Macaca mulatta: one gene and its partners. The protein of the gene in region 2 binds, or shares a complex with, the protein of the main gene of each other region. Links are inferred from orthologs where the notes say so. Each region holds a gene or a part of one and is shown on either strand. Other genes may lie near its edges. The genes, in order: LYRM4, NDUFAB1 and FDX2.

Region 1 (5,377 bases), on a different chromosome or scaffold from region 2:
AACGTCTGGAGGGACTCCTCCAGGTAGGGGGTGCACAGGCATTGAGATGGCAGCAAGTTCATGGAAATAGGGAGAGTGAGGGAGAGGAGAGCAATGGAGGGCCTCTGGGGACCTCAGATGGGCTTCAGGTTTTATGTTAGGGTGCCATGAAGCAAGAGCCTGGAAGGGGTTGAGCGGGGCAGTGGCCCAATCTTTCTTTTGAAAAAGATCACTGTGATGGTGGTGTGTGGAAAACAGACCGTGTGTGGGGTGCAGTGGTAGTGGGGGCACCCGGAGGACAGGTCAGAAGGCTACTACAGCAGCCAGTTAGAGAGGACAGTGTGCAAAAATACAGACTCTCCACCTCACCACAGGCTGTTAGTCCAAAGGCATCTTATGCCAGCTTGCAGCCAGATGGCTTGGGAGGCCACTACGCCTTATACCCTAACTACGGTAAAGGCTGCATGTGGATTCAGGAAGAGTCTTGACATGAAAGGGAAGTGAGTAGAAACTTCCTAGCAGCTGCTGTCTAACTGGTTCTCTGAAGGGATGAGAACGCTTTCATCCCTGAGGTGGTGACAGCATGCTGTTCTGCAAGGTCACCATGGAAGCCCTGGCCCCGCAGTATGTATTCTCCATCAGGAAGGTGCAGTGGACAGGCTGCCCTGGGGAGGGCGCCCTTGCCCTGCACATGCCACTGCTCCAGTGAGTCTGTCCTGGGGGAGGGGGGATCACTGGGATGTCAGATGAGGGCCAGTTTAGTCTTTTGTTTTTGTTTTTTTGTTGAAAGGGTGGTTTGAGCATTTCAAACCAAGAAGTGACACAGACAATTAGATATAGCAGGAGAAATGATGGCACAGATTATTTACAATCCCTCTTTTCTAAGCAGTTTATACTCTGTACAATTTTACGCTAAAGATAAAACCTGCCTGTTTTGCCAACCTCTACACACAGTAAGTGCCAAAGAACAAAATCTTTCTGCGTTTATGCAAAATAAGAACTCAGCTGCTTGTTCTTCTATGCTCCACTGCTAAAGGATCTCATAAAATTCAACCACTGGTGACTGGAAATGCCATTGTTCTAGAGTTTTCAAAATGTTTACTCACGTAAATGCCACTCTCAAAATATATATAAATGTACAGATCAGTTTCTTTTCTGAGTACCCTACTATCCTCTGGCTTTAGAGATCATTTCCCAGGACTGTCTGAGTGTGGCAGTTATTCTATTACTAAATAGCTGTAGAACTCAAGGATGGTTATGAGAATCCCAAATGCTATTCTAGAAAGAACTGTTATATTATGTAGGCAATATAACAAGACCTTTAATCTTGACATAAATTGCAAATTATAGTTTCAAATATTGCTTCTTTTTTGAATTGTTTAGAGTCAAGCATGAAGAAGGGTCAGGGAAAGATTATTATCTAATTTAATATCAGCCAAGCTGGCATCTCCTGATGATGCTAAAGAAGCCCTCTCAAAACAGTACAGCATAACTTACAGAAATGGTAAAGGGTTTCCCCCTCCACACTTTATAAACAAATTTCCTGCAAGTAAAAGAGAAACACGAAATGGAAGCAGAAATGGAGTTTATTGCGTGATTGCTGCTAAGTCCAAGAAAAACAGTGAAAAGGGTGTTTTTTAGAGAGTAAGAAAACCCATCGGTGGACAGTGACTTCAACCTCTGACGTTCTAATTACTCTTGGGGATGTTATCAGACCGCCCAGGAGATCAAGCTGCTGCACAAGCTCCACCCACCTCACCTGATGAGAAAAGCCCCGCCCGCCTCACGAGAATGAGAAGCCCCGCCCGCCTCACGAGAACGAGAGAAGCTCCGCCCGCCTCACGAGGATGAGAGAAGCTCCGCCCGCCTCACGAGAATGAGAGAAGCCCCGCCCGCCTCACGAGAACGAGAAGCTCCGCCCACCTCACGAGACCGAGAGAAGCTCCGCCCACCTCACGAGAATGAGAGAAGCCCCGCCCGCCTCACGAGAATGAGAGAAGCCCCGCCCACCTCACGAGAATGAGAGAAGCCCCGCCCACCTCAAGAGAATGAGAAGCCCTGCCCGCCTCACGAGAATGAGAGAAGCCCCGCCCGCCTCACGAGGATGAGAGAAGCCCCGCCCGCCTCAACAGAATGAGAAGCCCCGCCCGCCTCACGAGGATGAGAGAAGCCCCGCCCGCCTCAACAGAATGAGAAGCCCCGCCCACCTCACGAGGATGAGAAGCCCTGCCCGCCTCACGAGGATGAGAAGCCCCGCTCGCCTCACGAGAACGAGAGAAGCCCCGCCCACCTCAAGAGAATGAGAGACGCCCCCGCCCACCTCAAGAGAATGAGAAGCCCCGCCCGCCTCACGAGAATGAGAAGCCCCGCCCACCTCACGAGAATGAGAAGCCCCGCCCGCCTCACGAGAATGAGAATCCCCACCCGCCTCACGAGAATGAGAGAAGCTCCGCCCGCCTCACGAGAATGAGAAGCCCCGCCCACCTCACAAGAATGAGAGAAGCCCCGCCCGCCTCACAAGAATGAGAAGCCCCACCCGCCTCACGAGAATGAGAAGCTCCGCCCGCCTCACGAGAATGAGAGAAGCCCCGCCCGCCTCACGAGAATGAGAGAAGCCCCGCCCACCTCAAGAGAATGAGAAGCCCTGCCCACCTCACGAGAATGAGAGAAGCCCCGCCCGCCTCACGAGGATGAGAAGCCCCGCCCGCCTCACGAGGATGAGAGAAGCCCCGCCCACCTCACGAGGATGAGAAGCCCTGCCCGCCTCACGAGGATGAGAAGCCCCGCTCGCCTCACGAGAATGAGAGAAGCCCCGCCCACCTCAAGAGAATGAGAGACGCCCCCGCCCACCTCAAGAGAATGAGAAGCCCCGCCCGCCTCACGAGAATGGGAGAAGCCCCGCCCGCCTCACGAGGATGAGAGAAGCCCCGCCCGCCTCAACAGAATGAGAAGCCCCGCCCACCTCACGAGGATGAGAGAAGCCCCGCCCACCTCACGAGAATGAGAAGCCCCGCCCGCCTCACGAGAATGAGAAGCCCCGCCCGCCTCACGAGAATGAGAATCCCCACCCGCCTCACGAGAATGAGAGAAGCCCCGCCCGTCTCACGAGGATGAGAGAAGCCCCGCCCGCCTCACGAGAATGAGAAGCCCCGCCTGCCTCACGAGGATGAGAGAAGCTCCGCCCGCCTCACGAGAATGAGAGAAGGAAGCACAAGGTGATCCTTGGCACTTCCACGAAATGAAAACACGCCCTCCAGGGTCCTTTATGGGGTCAGCACCCAAGCAGGTGACTTTACACCATCTGCACCTGCAGATGCACCGCCCATGTGGCAACGTAATTCAGGTTCACCACCCACGATGGTGTCTTCAAGAAAAGCGCCACGTTCTGTTTATCCTGAATTGTGATTAAAAATACTAGGAAAGGGAGAATATATTTATACTCTGAAATATATCCAAGTATACATGTGCAATACATCTTATAAAAACTTAGCTTTCAATAACAGTAATGCAGAAATTTCTCATATTTAAAGTATCAGCTTTCCAGAAGGATACACTTCCTGGAAATTCTGGAAAGCTGATATTTTAAGTTCAACTTGAATCTGAAAATATGAGAGTTCACCTTTACATGTCTGTATTAGTACAAGGAACAGAGTTTCATGATCCTGCTCTGTAAATCACCAACACCAAAAGCACTGCTGTCTAATCAAGGGGGATATGTCAAAGTTTAAAGCTCTTAATGAAAAACAGTACGTCATTGAACCATCTTACCTGTCGACGAATTACTTCAAGGTCTCTCTTGGCTTTATTCACTAGGGTTTGAATTTCTACAGGATCCTTCACATTTTTATTTTCTCTGAAGGCATCTCTTATCCTCCTGACAGCATATGTTCTAAATGAATTCAGAGGAAAAAAAAGAAAAGGTGTCAGTGTGTCTGAGACTATGCTTTCAAATGAATTTAAAAGCTTTTCCTTTAGAATTAACTGTCTAATCTTCCCCTATGGATAATCCACTTTGATCTCTGCTCGTGGCGCAGGCAGATCCATTACCATTCTGGGATGACTAAGCAAACAGATTTAGGAAAATAAATCTACTCTCAACAAGCCACATACAAATGGCAAACTGCTACTGAAGAGTTCCTTAGATTATTGGTTCTTTAGCATTATTCACATCTGGCTTCACTCCATTTACATGGATAATTGAACCTTTAGTGTACAGACATAAATCAAGAATTCAGAGGTTAGCTGCAGTGATCCATGATTGTGCTACTGCACTCCAGCCTGGGCGACAATGCAAGACCCTGTCTTTAAAAAAGGAAGAAAAAAATTCAGAGGTTAAATGATGATCACATTTGCATGTACCCAGATAGTGACCTATGCTTTCCAATCCCTGTCCCATCTTCTGGCTCTCACTTCCCTTTCTTTGGTCCACATTAGGATCCCACCACAGTTGAACCTGTGGAATTAGGCCAACATGCTTTCTTTTCCTCCATCTTGAAAGTGCACACGCCTACCACCCACCCCCAAGCAGACAGATCACTTGCAGTACAGGACAGCAGTTCCACAGCAAGGCTTGCGGATCAGACAGGCTTGGGTTTGTAGCCTTGCTCCAGCTCCTACTGTTTGTGTGAACTTGGGCAAGCTTTTTAACAAAAGGCCATGTCTCCTCATCTGTCATAAAGGCATAATAATGCTAAGTGCTGCTGGGAGGATTTGGCTTTATAACATGGGTCTGGAATTTGGCCCAGAGCCTGTTATATAGAAAGACTCAATAAATGAAAGCTATTCTTAACACTTGTTACGCCTTAATGCAATTAGTATTCCCTCTCCTCATGCCATAACCTTGCCTTCCTTAGTCCTGCATCTTTACAGTCACACCACAGTGTGCGTACAGAAGGTAGAGTGGTCTGGATAATTAGCCACAACAGACAACTCAGCAGTCCTTAGACATAGTCCCACACTCAGATGGCTATGGTCTATCGCTAGCTCCACCCCATCTACTCCAGAATGAAAGGCACAAGACTAAGGAGAAGCAGACTGAGTCAGACATGTGAGACACCATTTTCTCTATTTTTTTTTCTTTTTTAGAGATGGGGTGTCCCTCTGTTGCACAGGCAGTGTCATGATCATAACTCACTACAATCACAAACCCCTGGGCTCAAGTGATCCTCCCGCCTCAGCCTCCACAGTGGCTAGGATTACAGGCACCCACCACCACGTCTGGCTAATTTAAAAAAATTTTGAGGGGGATGGGGACTTGCTGTGTTGCCCAGGCTGGTCTTAAACTCCTGGGCTCAAGCTACCCTGCTGCCTTAGCATCTCAAGGAACTAGGATTACAAGCACACGCCATAGTGCCTGGCTCTCCAGTCTTAATGATCACAGACTGCTCTGCTTTTAACC
Region 2 (5,993 bases):
ATCTTAATCTTAATATTGGGACTTTTTACTCTATAGGCCATGTAGGCTGATATTTTGTCTTTATTTGTTTGCTAAAGGGAAAAGCAGCTCTCCCAAATTATTTAAATAAGAGATGATTTGTTATGTTTGACCAAAAGGATTAAATGTAACATTGATGCCAGGCTCAGTGGCTCACACCTGTAATCCCAGCACTTTGGGAGGCCGAGACAGGCAGATCACGAGGTCAGGAGTTTGAGACTATCCTGGCTAACACGGTGAAACCCCACCTCAATAAATACATATATACATACATGTAACACTGAAATACTAGATAGGTCATGGGAAGAGATGGCCCCAAGTGTGAACTTAGTAGGCTATTAGGTTCTTCCTAAGATTAGAGCTACATTTTTTGGGAGACAGAGTCTCACTCTGTTGCCCAGGCTGGAGTGCAGTGGTACAATCATAGCTCACTGCAGCCTTGACCTCCTATGCTCAATTGGTCCTCCTACCTCAGCTTTCCCGAGCAGCTGGGACCACAGACATGCACCACCACGCCTGGCTAATTTTTTAAGTTTTTTGTGGAGACAGGGTCTCCCTATGTTGCCTAGGCTGGTCTCAAACTCCTGGGCTCAAGTGATCCACCTCCCTTGGCCTCCCAAAGTGCTGAGATTACAGAGGTGAGTCACTGAACCAGGCTTGCATGTCTGGCTTGCTCACTTTTGCAGCCTCAACAATGAGTACTTAACAGATATTCAATTTTCTTTTTTTTTTTTGAGATGGAGTTTCACTCTTGTTGCCCAGGCTAGAGTACAATGGCACAATCTCAGTTCTCTGCAACCTCCGCCTCCTGGGTACAAGCGATTCTCCTGTCTCAGCCTCCTGCCTCCTGAGTAGCTGGGATTACAGGCACCTGCCACCACACCCGGCTAATTTTTGTATTTTTAGTGGAGACGGGGTTTCACCATGTTGTCCAGGATGGTCTTGAACTCCTGACCTCAGGTGATCCACCTGCCTCAGCCTCCCAAAGTGCTGGGATTACAGGTGTGAGCCACCACACCTGGCAGCATACCATTACATTTTATTTTACTTGGATTTAACAAAAATAAAAAGAAATTGAGGTAAAACTGATGGCATTATTGGATCGTTCATTCAGGCAGATTTCAGAATTTGGAGTCACTATCCCGTGTGTTTCAATTTCAGTCAATATCCTTTGACTACCTGCTTAGAAATAGGAATTCGCCTAAACTCCTCCCTCGCTTACCTATTTTTGTTAGCTATTGTAAGGAACATGGCTGTGCTTTGGTCAAGGATAGGCCAAGGTAAGATGTTTACATCCTGCGTGACTCAGCAAGTTTAGACACAGGCGTATAACTCCACTTGTTATCACAGCCATGTAGCCATAACATGGGAAGGCCATCACTTGGCTCTAAGCCACTATTTTCTGTAAAAGGTATAATTGCCTTGCTAATACTGTACAGGCCTTCGTGCCCAGAGAAAGAGTGAGAGAGCCAGAGCTGTCCGTCTTTGCAGACAGACGTGGGGGAGCCAGAACACAGCTGAGAGAAAGAGTTCAGCTGCTGACCCTGAAAGCAAGGGAGAGCAGCCTCGCAGCTGTGTGTTGGAGCCCCGGGACTAAACAGCCGAGACAAGGTGGACAGTGTGAGAGAACTAGTGTAAGTAAGCTGCTGATGAGAGCTGCTGCTGAATAAAATCATCTTTCACCTGCCTACCGTCCCCTGAGTGTTCTTTTGCTATTTGCTCATCCACCCACTCACCTCAGAGCTCCATATGGGCTGGAACCTGGCTGTGGGCATGACAGTTGGCATAGTCGTGGACCTGACAGCTATATTATACACTGTCAAGTTTTAAAACATGTATTGTTTTAATCGTAATTCTCACATTTATTAGTCTTAGTATTTTTTCACATTATTTTTCATATATATATATAACCTATTCAATAAATGTTAATACTTGTGGAAGAATCGTGGAATCAAAACTTTGTCCTTTTTTTCTTTTAATCTTTTTTGTAACAGAGACGGAGTCTTGCCATGTTGGCCAGGTTAGTCTTGAACTCCTGAGCTCAAGCAGTCCTGCCACCTTGACCTCCCAAAGTGCTAGGATTAAAGGTGTGAGCCACCGCGCCCGGCCCCAAACGTTTAAATAGATATATTTCAGAACTTTCAGATAAAAAATGAAAGTAGGTTTGTCCTGTCGTGTCGCTTAGGGAAAGACTGCAACGTCTGCACAGTTCAGTCGTGGCACCAAGCAACTGTTCGTCCCGAACCTGGATGGGCTCCGAGGGCGCAGTGCCTCCTGGAGCCGCCAGGGGCCGCCACCGCCGGCGGTGCCCGACAGCGCTGCTCTGTGCGTCGCCTGCGCGCTGCCGGAGATGAACCCTGGGCCGGTGGCGGCGGCGCAGTGTATCCTGGGTCGGCGTAGCTATGGCGTCTCGTGTCCTTTCATCCTATGTCCGCCGCCTGCCCGCGGCCTTTGCGCCGCTGCCCCGGGTCCCGATGCTGGCCGTGGCCCGGCCTCTCAGCACCGGTCTGTGCTCCGTGGGGACCCAGACGAGGCTCGGGCCTTTGCAGCCGGCCTTAAAGCTCGCGCAGGTGACTCGCGGTGACTTTTCTGGGGCTTGGCAGGGGTCAGGAATTGGGCCCGGTGGGGGTGGGGGCCGGGCACCCCAGCCGCGCCAGCTGCCCGCAGGGGTGACCCGGGGGGCAGCCGGCTCGCTCCGCAGCCCCGCTGCCTAAAGGTGTTTAGTTGACCCCTGCCGGGAGGCCAGGTGACCTCGTAATAACTAGCAAGAGCACTGACTAGAGTCCAGCTCCGCTGGACTGCCGCTTACCGAAACTTTGGACAAGTCTTCTAGCCTTGCTCACACTCACCTGCAAAATTGGGATCCTGGCCTCTACCTTGCGGAGTAGCAATAAGGATTAGATGAGTTAATGCGGATAGAGCACCTCGTACCGTCTCAAAATAGTGGTCACCGTATTGTAGTGAAAGCAGCATGCAAAGAGGTAGCCACACTGGCCTACAGCCTTCTACAGAGCGGTTCTCTCTGCAGTTCTGTCCTTTTCCCTGCTGCACCTTCTGCCTGTGTCCAGGACTCCTGGAAGTAATTCTAGGAAACAAGTGCAGGTGACCTTTGAACAATAAGGATTTGAATTGTGTTGGTCCACTTAAATGCGGATTTTTTTCAACCAAACGCGGCCAGTATTTACGGGATGTGCCGCCCTGCGTATAAGGAGGGCAGGCTCTTCCTATAAGGGGATTCTGCAAGGCTGACGGCGGGACAGGAGTGTGCGCGGATTTGGGTATAGTCAGGGGTCCTGGAACCAATCTCCTGCGCGAATACCAAAGAACGACTGTGCCTGTAGTATATAGCTTGAGCTGATGAAATCTGCGTGAGGCTGAAACGCCAGGAGGCAGTGATTTTCAAACCTAGCTCCATATTCAAATTACGTGGGTAACTTGAAAAAACAGAAAAGCTTTGCCCCCTCCCCCTTCCTGCTGATTTATTCCTCTGGGATGATGCCCTGCCATGGTGGTGGTAGTGTTATTGTTGTTTTTGAGACAGAGTCTCGCTCTGTAGCCCAAGCTGGAGTGCAGTGGCGTGATCTCGGCTCACTGCAACCTTCGGCTCACTGCAACCTCCGGTTCACGGCAACCTCCGCCTATCAGGTTCAAGCGATTCTCCTCCCTCAGCCTCCCGAGTATTTGGGACTACAGGTGCCCACCACCATGCCTGGCCAATTTTTGTATTTTTAGTAGAGACGGGGTTTCATCATATTGGCCAGGCTGGTCTCCAACTCCTGACCTCGCAGTCCACCAGCCTTGGCCTCCCAAAGTGCTGCGATTACAGGCGTGAACCACCGCGCCCGGCCTGTTGTTGTTGTTCTAGGCTCTCCAGATGACTCTGAAGTGCAATTGAGAATAAAAATAACCTTCTTAAGGTAGGATAGACTCTCAAGGTCAAGTTATGAAACCCCTTTTCAAAGTCATAGACTTCAGGTAATAGGGTTTCAACCTTGACTGCATGTTAGTGTGAAAAATAAGTGTGTCTGGCCAGGCGCGGTGGCTCATGCCTGTAATCCCAGCACTTTGCGAGGCTGAGGTGGGCGGATCGCTTGAGCCCAGGAGTTTGAGACCTTCCTAGGCAACATGGTGGAACCCTGTCTCTACAAAAAAATACATAAATTAAGCCACCGCGGTGGCTCACGCCTGTAAACCCAGCACTTTGGGATGCCGAGGTGGGCGGATCACGAGGTCAGGCGATGGAGACCATTCTGGCTAACACGGTGAAACCCCTTCTCTACTAAAAATAAAAAAAATTAGCCGGGCGTGGTGGCACGCGCCTGTAGTCCCAGCTACTCAGGAGGCTGAGGCAGGAGAATCGCTTGAACCCGGGAGGCGGAGGTTGCAGTGAGCCGAGATCACCAGTGAGCCAAGATGCCAAGTCTGGCATCCTCCTTCCTGGCCACTCAAGGACTGAGTGACAACCTTTGTTATTGCATCAGCCTACAGATACTTCTGTCGTGGTGCTTGCCATATTTTTATTTCAGCTAAAATGATCTGTGGATTGGTCTTTTCCATTAGAGTGGAAGCTTCTCTGGGGGGAAGGTTGTGTCATATTCATCTTTGCATTTCCAGCCCATTGCACAGTTCTTGGCACACAGGTTAAGTTCCCAGGCTTCTGAGACAGTCATGTAAATAGATAAAGGCAAGACATTGTGAGAACAGGTGTGTGTAGTGCAGAAGCAAAAAGAGGTACTTGACCAACCTCTCAGCAAACATGATCTTGAAGGCCTGTGCAGAGACCAGGAAGAGCCCTCGTGGTTGACTCTTAGGGTGTCTGGAAGGGAACATCGTTGGGGGGAAGAGAGTGAGCATATCATGAAGGGAGCTGTGTGCTGCAGTGAGGAATTGTGGATGTTCTCTGCCAAGGTCATAGGGAGTGAACATGAAGCAGGGCTTATTGAAGGAATAAGCCCCAGGTGGCGGAGAAGGAACAGACATCTCTAAGCAGGAGTTTTGGAGACAGGTCAGGAGTTCATTTCCAAACTGTTGAGTTTGAGAGGTCTGGGCTGCCTATGTAGAGTGGACCAGTCGGCAGTTTGTAGAGACAGCCTTTAAAGCCCTCTCCTTAGCCTCCTCTGAGTTTGCCTCAGGCAAAAGTGGGCCCCAGTGGAGTACCTGGATTCTGATGGAACCTCATGCATTTGAATTACTAGTCCAGAGGGCCGTCACTGTTTACCTGCAAACAGTACCTTCTCTGATGTCTGGGAGAGGTGGTTTATTGCCCATATAATTGTTAAGTGTAGATCTTGAGGAAGAAAAATTAACACCAGAAACCTCACATGTTGGCTGTTGGGGAGGTGCTTGTCCATTTTGTATCCCTTTTATTTTTTCCCAGTCAACAGAGATCCAGCTAGAAGGAGCAACAAGACCTTCCAAGAGGCCATGCTGGAAGAACATGGGGTGAGGGGGATACCTAACCTCCCCCTGCCTCAGTTTCTCATCTGTAAAAAGGAGGGTGATAGTATCATGAATCTCACCAGATTACTGGAGAGCTGAAGGAAGATGATGTGTGTAAAGTGCTTAGGGCAATATCATAGCCTGACTTGATAAGAAATCAATGGAAGCCAGGCGTGGTAGTTTATGCCTGCCTGTAATCCCAGCACTTTCGGAGACTGAGGTGAGTGGATCACTTGAGACCAGGAGTTCAGGACCAGCCTGGCCAACATAGTGAAACCTCATCTCTACTAAAAATACAGAAATTAGCCAGGCATGGTGGAGCATGCCTGTAATCCCAGCTACTTGGGAGGCAGAGGCATAAGAATCACTTGAACCCAGAAGGCAGAGGTTGTAGTGAGCCGAGGTCACAACACTGCACTCCAGCCTGGGCAACACAGTGAGACTCTGTCTGAAAAAAAAGAAAAAGAAATCAATAGAGACCAGAGGCAGAAGCATGAGAGGGGAGTAGGATCAAGTATTTTGGGGCTACGCTACAG
Region 3 (5,831 bases), on a different chromosome or scaffold from region 2:
TAGCAGAAGCAAGATTTGAACCTGAAACCTGAAACCCTTTGCCTGCGGGGACAGGGAGGGCGGGGAGGGCGCGGGCGCCGGGCGGGAGGGGTGCTTCCTCTGGCCCCCAGGGAGTAACCTGTTCCACCTCTCCATTTCTTCCAGGCGATCGGCTCTTCCCCACTGGGCTCCGGAGAAGGGCTCCTGGGCCTCGGCCCAGGGCCTAATGGTCATAGCCACCTGCTGAAGGTACGGGCAGGGGGTGGGGACATGCAGGGCTGGGGAGCCCCGGCCCCCCAGCAGCCCCTGACCTGCCCCGCCCTGCCCTCTGTCTCCAGACCCCACTGGGCGGCCAGAAACGCAGCTTTGCCCACCTACTGCCCTCGCCCGAGCCCAGCCCAGAAGGCAGCTATGTGGGCCAGCACTCCCAGGGCCTCGGCGGCCACTACGCGGACTCCTATCTGAAGCGGAAGAGGATTTTCTAAGTGGCTGGTGCCAGAGATAACTCAAGGGCCTGCACCAAATCGCTTTTGGGTTTTCTGGTGTTTTGTTTTGTGTTTTTTTAAACCATTTTCTCTCTTTCGGTAATAGAAAAATCTCTGAAAGACTTTACTGACCAATCAGCTGGAGCCCCAGGAGCCCAAGGGGTGTGGGGGAGTCTGGAGGCCTCACTGCACCTCTGGCTTGCTCCCCACACCGAAACCCTGCAGCCTTAAGAGAGAGGGGCCCCGGCCTGCTCTCCCTCCCTCCCCCCATCTCCTCTTCCGATGTGCCCGTCTCTCCGGAGCCCTCCTGCCTCGTTGATCCTGTAATTTTGGCCTTTCGAGTGCCTTGGAGGTTTCCCTGACCTCCCGTGAGGATACAGAGACTGTCTCCTTTTTTTTAACTTTGACAACTGACTTCTGTTTCCTTTTCTAATTTTTATTTTTAAAACCACCGCGGACAACCCCCAGCTGTGATTCCTTCAAGGTCCGGCCTGTCCGGGCCACCATTCCACACTTTGCAGTTTGAAACAGCTCTTTTTCCCACATCTGCTGCAGGCATGGCTGTCTCCTGCCCCTGCCTGCCCATCTGGCCAATATCCCAGCCCCGGGGCCCGGGGTCCCTGCCGCAGCCCCCTCCCCTTCTGATGCCTTAAAAGCTGGGCCCCAGGCCCTGCTGGCCAGAGCCACAGATGCCAAGCTCTGGGAGCTTGACTATGGACCAAACAGCTCTGGCCTAGGGATTGGGCCACCCTACCTAGGATCTCCACCCTGGGGACAGTAGAAGGGCAAAGCCTTCATCTTGGCTAACCAGCCTCACCACCCCCTCCTGCCTGGGCCTCAGTGCAGAGATGGGCTTTCTCTGCCAATCCCCTGCTGTCTGTCTGTGGGAGTCGGACGTTGTGCCCATCTCCCAGAGCCTCTGCTGTCACTCCCTTGTTGAAGATGAATTCTTGAATTCTGCCTGCCCACCCCAGGCCAGATCCCCGGAGCTGGCCTCCTTTCAGCCCAGGGCCAGAAACCAGCACTCCATGAAGATAAGCTCTGGGCCCGCACACCAGCAGGACCTGTCGACCTGAGGTGACCCTGGGCCTTGCCCCCAGCCAACTGGGCCACTAGCTTCCCTCCCTTGACTCTGGGGGTCCACATCCACTCCAAGGGGACTATTCCCCGGACCCCACCCCAATCTCCCCACACGGACCTTTGCTGAATTAAAGTTTGTAAGTAAATGGTTTTAAAGAAATCAGAGTTGGCTGGTTCTTGGGACAAACAGTGGGCCTGAGTGGGAGGTCTGGGATGGCCCCGCGGGTATACCTGAGCTGGATCCCGCCCTGCTCTTCCCTCCTTGTCACCGCAGGCCCTAAGCAAACATCTGCGCTTCTGTTCCAGTGATTACGGGCCCTTACCTCGCGTCCCTGGCGCGGCGCATGCTCAGTCGGTGGGTCACGTGATGCACGTCATGGCTGCCTCCATGACCCGGGGCGGCGTGAGTGCCAGGGTTCTGCTTCAGACTGCAAGGGGCACCTGGTGGAACCGAACTGGGGGCACTTCGGGGTCGGGGGAGGGGGTGGCGCCGGGGACAACCAGAAAGTTTCAAGCGACAGGTACCTGAGGCGCCCGGGGCGGGCAGCGTTAACCCGTCAGATGCCGGCGGGGCGGGGCTCTGCGCAGCCGCTCACTCAACCGTGTTTTCCAGGCTCGCGCTCGGCGGGAGAGGAGGAGACAGGCGGCCCCGAGCAGCCCGGGGACGTGTGAGTGCAGGGGGCCAAGTCCCCCATTCCTCATCCCACGGAATTCCTCTGGTCCCCATCTTGCCCTGTAGCTTCATCTCGCGGTCCCCCTTCTGCTTTGCCCTATTCAGCACCCGTGCGTCAAGCCTCAGTCCCTACTTCCTAACCCCAGATTCTACCCGGGCCCTGAGCCCATCATCCAGTTCGGCATTCGCACCTCCATCTGTCCCCAGGGTGAACGTGGTGTTCGTAGACCGCTCAGGCCAGCGGATCCCAGTGAGCGGCAGAGTCGGAGACAATGTTCTCCATCTGGCACAGCGCCACGGGGTGGACCTGGAAGGTAGGAACTGGGCACAGGGAGTTAAGGAGGTCCTTATCCATTTGTCCAAAACAAAAACAAAAACAAATCAGGTGTGTCTCTTCATGACTTTTCCCACCAAATATGGACTAAAATCCAAACCCCTTACCACGGCCTCATCTGTTGCCAAGCTCTTATTTATTAAGCATTTATTAGAGATCACTAGGACTCCTGACTCCCAGGATTTTGTGTTCTCTTCCCCCTTCCTCCCTGTATTCTAGCCACATTGGCTTTCTTTTTGTTGTTGTTTTGAGATGGAGTTTCACTCTTGTTGCCCAGGCTGGAGTGCAATGGCTTACTGCACCTCAGCTCACTGCAACCTCCACCTCGCGGGTTCAAGCGATTCCCCTGCACCACCTGCCAGACTAGCTGGGATTACAGGCGCCCACCACCAAGCCCAGCTAAGTTTTGTATTTTTAGTAGAGACAGGGTTTCACCACGTTAGCCAGGCTGGTCTCAAACTCCTGACAGGCAATCTACCCGCTCAGCCTCCTGAAATGCTGGGATTACAGGCGTGAGCCACCACACCCAGCCCACACTGGCTTTCTTGTGGTTCCTCAAATAGTCCAGCTCATTCCTTCCTGCCTCGGGTCCACTGCATTTGCTGTTCCCTCTGTCTGAAGTGCTTGCCCAGCAAACATTCTGGCTCTTTCTCATCCTTCAGACCTCAATGTAAATGTCATGTCCCTAACAATCCCATTCCCCTCAGCCCAGCTGAAGTACCCATGCGCTAGTTACTCTGTCTCATCAGTGTGATATGATATATAGCACTTCTCACTTTTTTGTCTTTTCAAGAGACACAGCCTTGCTGTGTTGCCAATGCCGGAGTGCCATGATGCAATCATACGTCACTGCAGCGTTGAACTCCTGGGTTCAAGTGATCCTCCCACCTCAGCCTCCCAAGTAGCTGGGATTATAGGCACAAGCCACGATGCCAGGCTGTTTTGTTTCCTACTTTGTCATCTGTCCCCCAGTGAGACTGGAGACCCATGTTCTTATTCATGCTTATCTGTTGCCTTGTCTGTCAGGATGTAACAGGTGTTTGATAATTTGTTGAGAGAAAAATAATAATAGAAATTTCTTGTCCAGGCGCAGTGGCTCACGCTTGTAATCCCAACACTTTCGGAGGCCGAGGCAGGTGAATCACTTGAGGACAGGAGTTTGAGACCAGCCTGGCCAACATGGTGAAACCTTGTCTCTACAAGAAACACAAAAATTAGCGGGGTGTGGTGGCACATGCATATAATCCCAGCTACTTGGGAGGCTGAGGCACAAGAATCACTTGAACTTGGGAGGCAGAGGTTGCAGTGAGCCAAGATGGCACCACTGTACTCCAGGCTGGATGGCAGAGCGAGACTGTCTCAAAAGAAAAAATATATATATATATATATATCTCTTTAACTATGTTAATACATATTCACTGACTGAATCTTCATGACAACTTGAGTAGTAGAGACTGTTATTCCATATTATAGATGAGGAAACTAAACCCCAGGTTAAGTAGACCTGGTCTAAGGTCAAGTGAGTGACAATACTAGACTCACCAGTCCATTTTAGCCACTAATCTGTGTTGCCTTTTTATGAATACCTACTGCTCGTCAGGCAGCAATATACAAAACACATAAGGCCTCTGTCATTTCACACCCATTTCGGCCTAATAGGGACAATAATCCCACAGGTAAATATATAATTATGTCATGAGTAACTTGGGAAGGGTTGTCTGGAAGAAAACATACAGGGTTTGCTTTTGGAATGAATATATCAGGGATCCTGATTTTATCATTAAAGGGGAAGATATGTTGGGAGGGGTTATGAAAGGCCTACGTCAAGTTCTGTTCTGGAATCCAGCAGCCAGTAGTCTAGGACAGAGATTGGAATGTGAAATAGATTTGCTTTTTTTTGAGACAGAGTCTCGCTCTGTCACCCAGGCTGGAGTGCAGTGGCCAGATTTCAGTTCACTGCAAGCTCTGCCTCCCGGGTTTACGCCATTGTCCTGCCTCAGCCTCCTGAGTAGCTGGGACTACAGGCGCCCGCCACCACGCCCAGCTAGTTTTTTTGTTTTTTTTTTTAGTAGAGATGGGGTTTCACCATGTTAGCCAGGATGGTCTCGATCTCCTGACCTCGTGATCCGCCCGTCTCGGCCTCCCAAAGTGTTGGGATTACAAGCTTGAGCCACCGCGCCCGGCCCGATTTGTTTATTTATTTATTTATTTGAGACAGAGTCTCGTTCTATCACCCAGGCTGGAGTGCAATGGCGTGATCTTGGCTTACTGCAACCTCCCCCTCCCGGGTTCAAGTGATTCTCTTGCCTTAGCCTCCCGAGTAGCTGGGATTACAGGCGCCTGCCACCATGCCCAGCTAAATTTTTGTTTTTTTTTTTTGAGACGGAGTCTCGCTCTGTCGCCCAGGCTGGAGTGCAGTGGTCGGATCTCACCTCACTGCAAGCTCTGCCTCTCGGGTTTACGCCATTCTCCTGCCTCAGCCTCCCGAGTAGCTGGGACTACAGGCGCCCGCCACCTCGCCCAGCTAGTTTTTTGTATTTTTTAGTAGAGACGGGGTTTCACCGGGTTAGCCAGGATGCTCTCGATCTCCTGACCTCGTGATCTGCCCGTCTCAGCCTCCCAAAGTGCTGGGATTACAGGCTTGAGCCACCGCGCCCGGCCAATTTTTGTATTTTTAATAGAGATGAGGTTTCACCATGTTGGCCAGGGTGGTCTCAAACTCCTGACCACAGTTGATCTACCTGCCTTGGCCTCCCAAAGTGCTGGGATTACAGACATGAGCCACTGCGCTGGGCCAGTAGAGGTCAGTGGCCTGGCAAGGTGTGGTGGCTCACGCCTGTAATCGCAGCACTTTGGGAGGCCGAGGCGAGCAGATCACGACATCAGGAGATCAAGACCATCCTGGCTAACAGGGTGAAACCCCTTCTCTACTAAAAATACAAAAACAAAATTAGCCAGGCATGATGGCGGCCGGCTGTAGTCCCAGCTACTCTGGGAGGCTGAGGCAGGAGAATGGCGTGAATCTGGAGAGAGAATGACGTGAGGCAGAGCTTGCAGTGAGCTGAGATCACGCTACTGCACTTCAGCCTGGGCAACAGAGCAGGATTCCATCTCTTAAAAAAAAATAACAGGCCGGGTACAGTGGCTCCTGCCTGTAATCGCAGCACTTTGGGAGGCTGAGGCGGGCAGATCACGAGGTCAGGAGATTGAGACCATCCTGGCTAACATGGTGAAACCCCGTCTCTCCAAAAAAAAAAAAAAAAAAAAATTATAAAGGAAA

Evidence for each region.
Region 1: the proteins of NDUFAB1 (region 2) and LYRM4 are in contact, whole or in part, in a crystal structure (PDB 6ODD), measured with the Homo sapiens proteins. The link is inferred for Macaca mulatta from reciprocal best matches to the Homo sapiens genes NDUFAB1 and LYRM4. Residues at the interface, in NP_004994.1 of Homo sapiens: Lys92, Asp111, Ser112, Leu113, Asp114, Val116, Glu117, Met120, Glu123, Asp124, Glu129, Ile130, Asp132; in NP_065141.3 of Homo sapiens: Arg6, Leu10, Ser11, Tyr13, Arg14, Leu17, Arg18, Lys21, Arg37, Phe40, Arg41, Lys44.
Region 3: NDUFAB1 (region 2) and FDX2 share a complex: the UniProt entries of both Homo sapiens proteins name them as parts of the mitochondrial core iron-sulfur cluster (ISC) complex. The link is inferred for Macaca mulatta from reciprocal best matches to the Homo sapiens genes NDUFAB1 and FDX2.

The regions. Positions count from the first base shown.
Region 1 is NC_133409.1:177,975,328-177,980,704, reverse strand, and holds part of LYRM4 (LYR motif-containing protein 4), read right to left. Parts: intron 3,869-5,377; coding exon 3,748-3,868; intron 1-3,747.
Region 2 is NC_133425.1:23,137,299-23,143,291, reverse strand, and holds the start of NDUFAB1 (acyl carrier protein, mitochondrial), read left to right. Parts: upstream 1-2,403; 5' UTR 2,404-2,420; coding exon 2,421-2,588; exon of another isoform or gene 2,589-3,492; intron 3,493-4,298; exon of another isoform or gene 4,299-5,236; intron 5,237-5,993. UniProt on the Homo sapiens protein: Carrier of the growing fatty acid chain in fatty acid biosynthesis.
Region 3 is NC_133424.1:11,033,552-11,039,382, reverse strand, and holds the start of FDX2 (ferredoxin-2, mitochondrial), read left to right. Parts: upstream 1-1,898; 5' UTR 1,899-1,911; coding exon 1,912-2,065; intron 2,066-2,157; coding exon 2,158-2,212; intron 2,213-2,424; coding exon 2,425-2,531; exon of another isoform or gene 2,532-3,426; intron 3,427-5,831. Other genes in the region: RAVER1 (ribonucleoprotein PTB-binding 1), read left to right, coding at 145-228, 318-464. UniProt on the Homo sapiens protein: Electron donor, of the core iron-sulfur cluster (ISC) assembly complex, that acts to reduce the persulfide into sulfide during [2Fe-2S] clusters assembly on the scaffolding protein ISCU.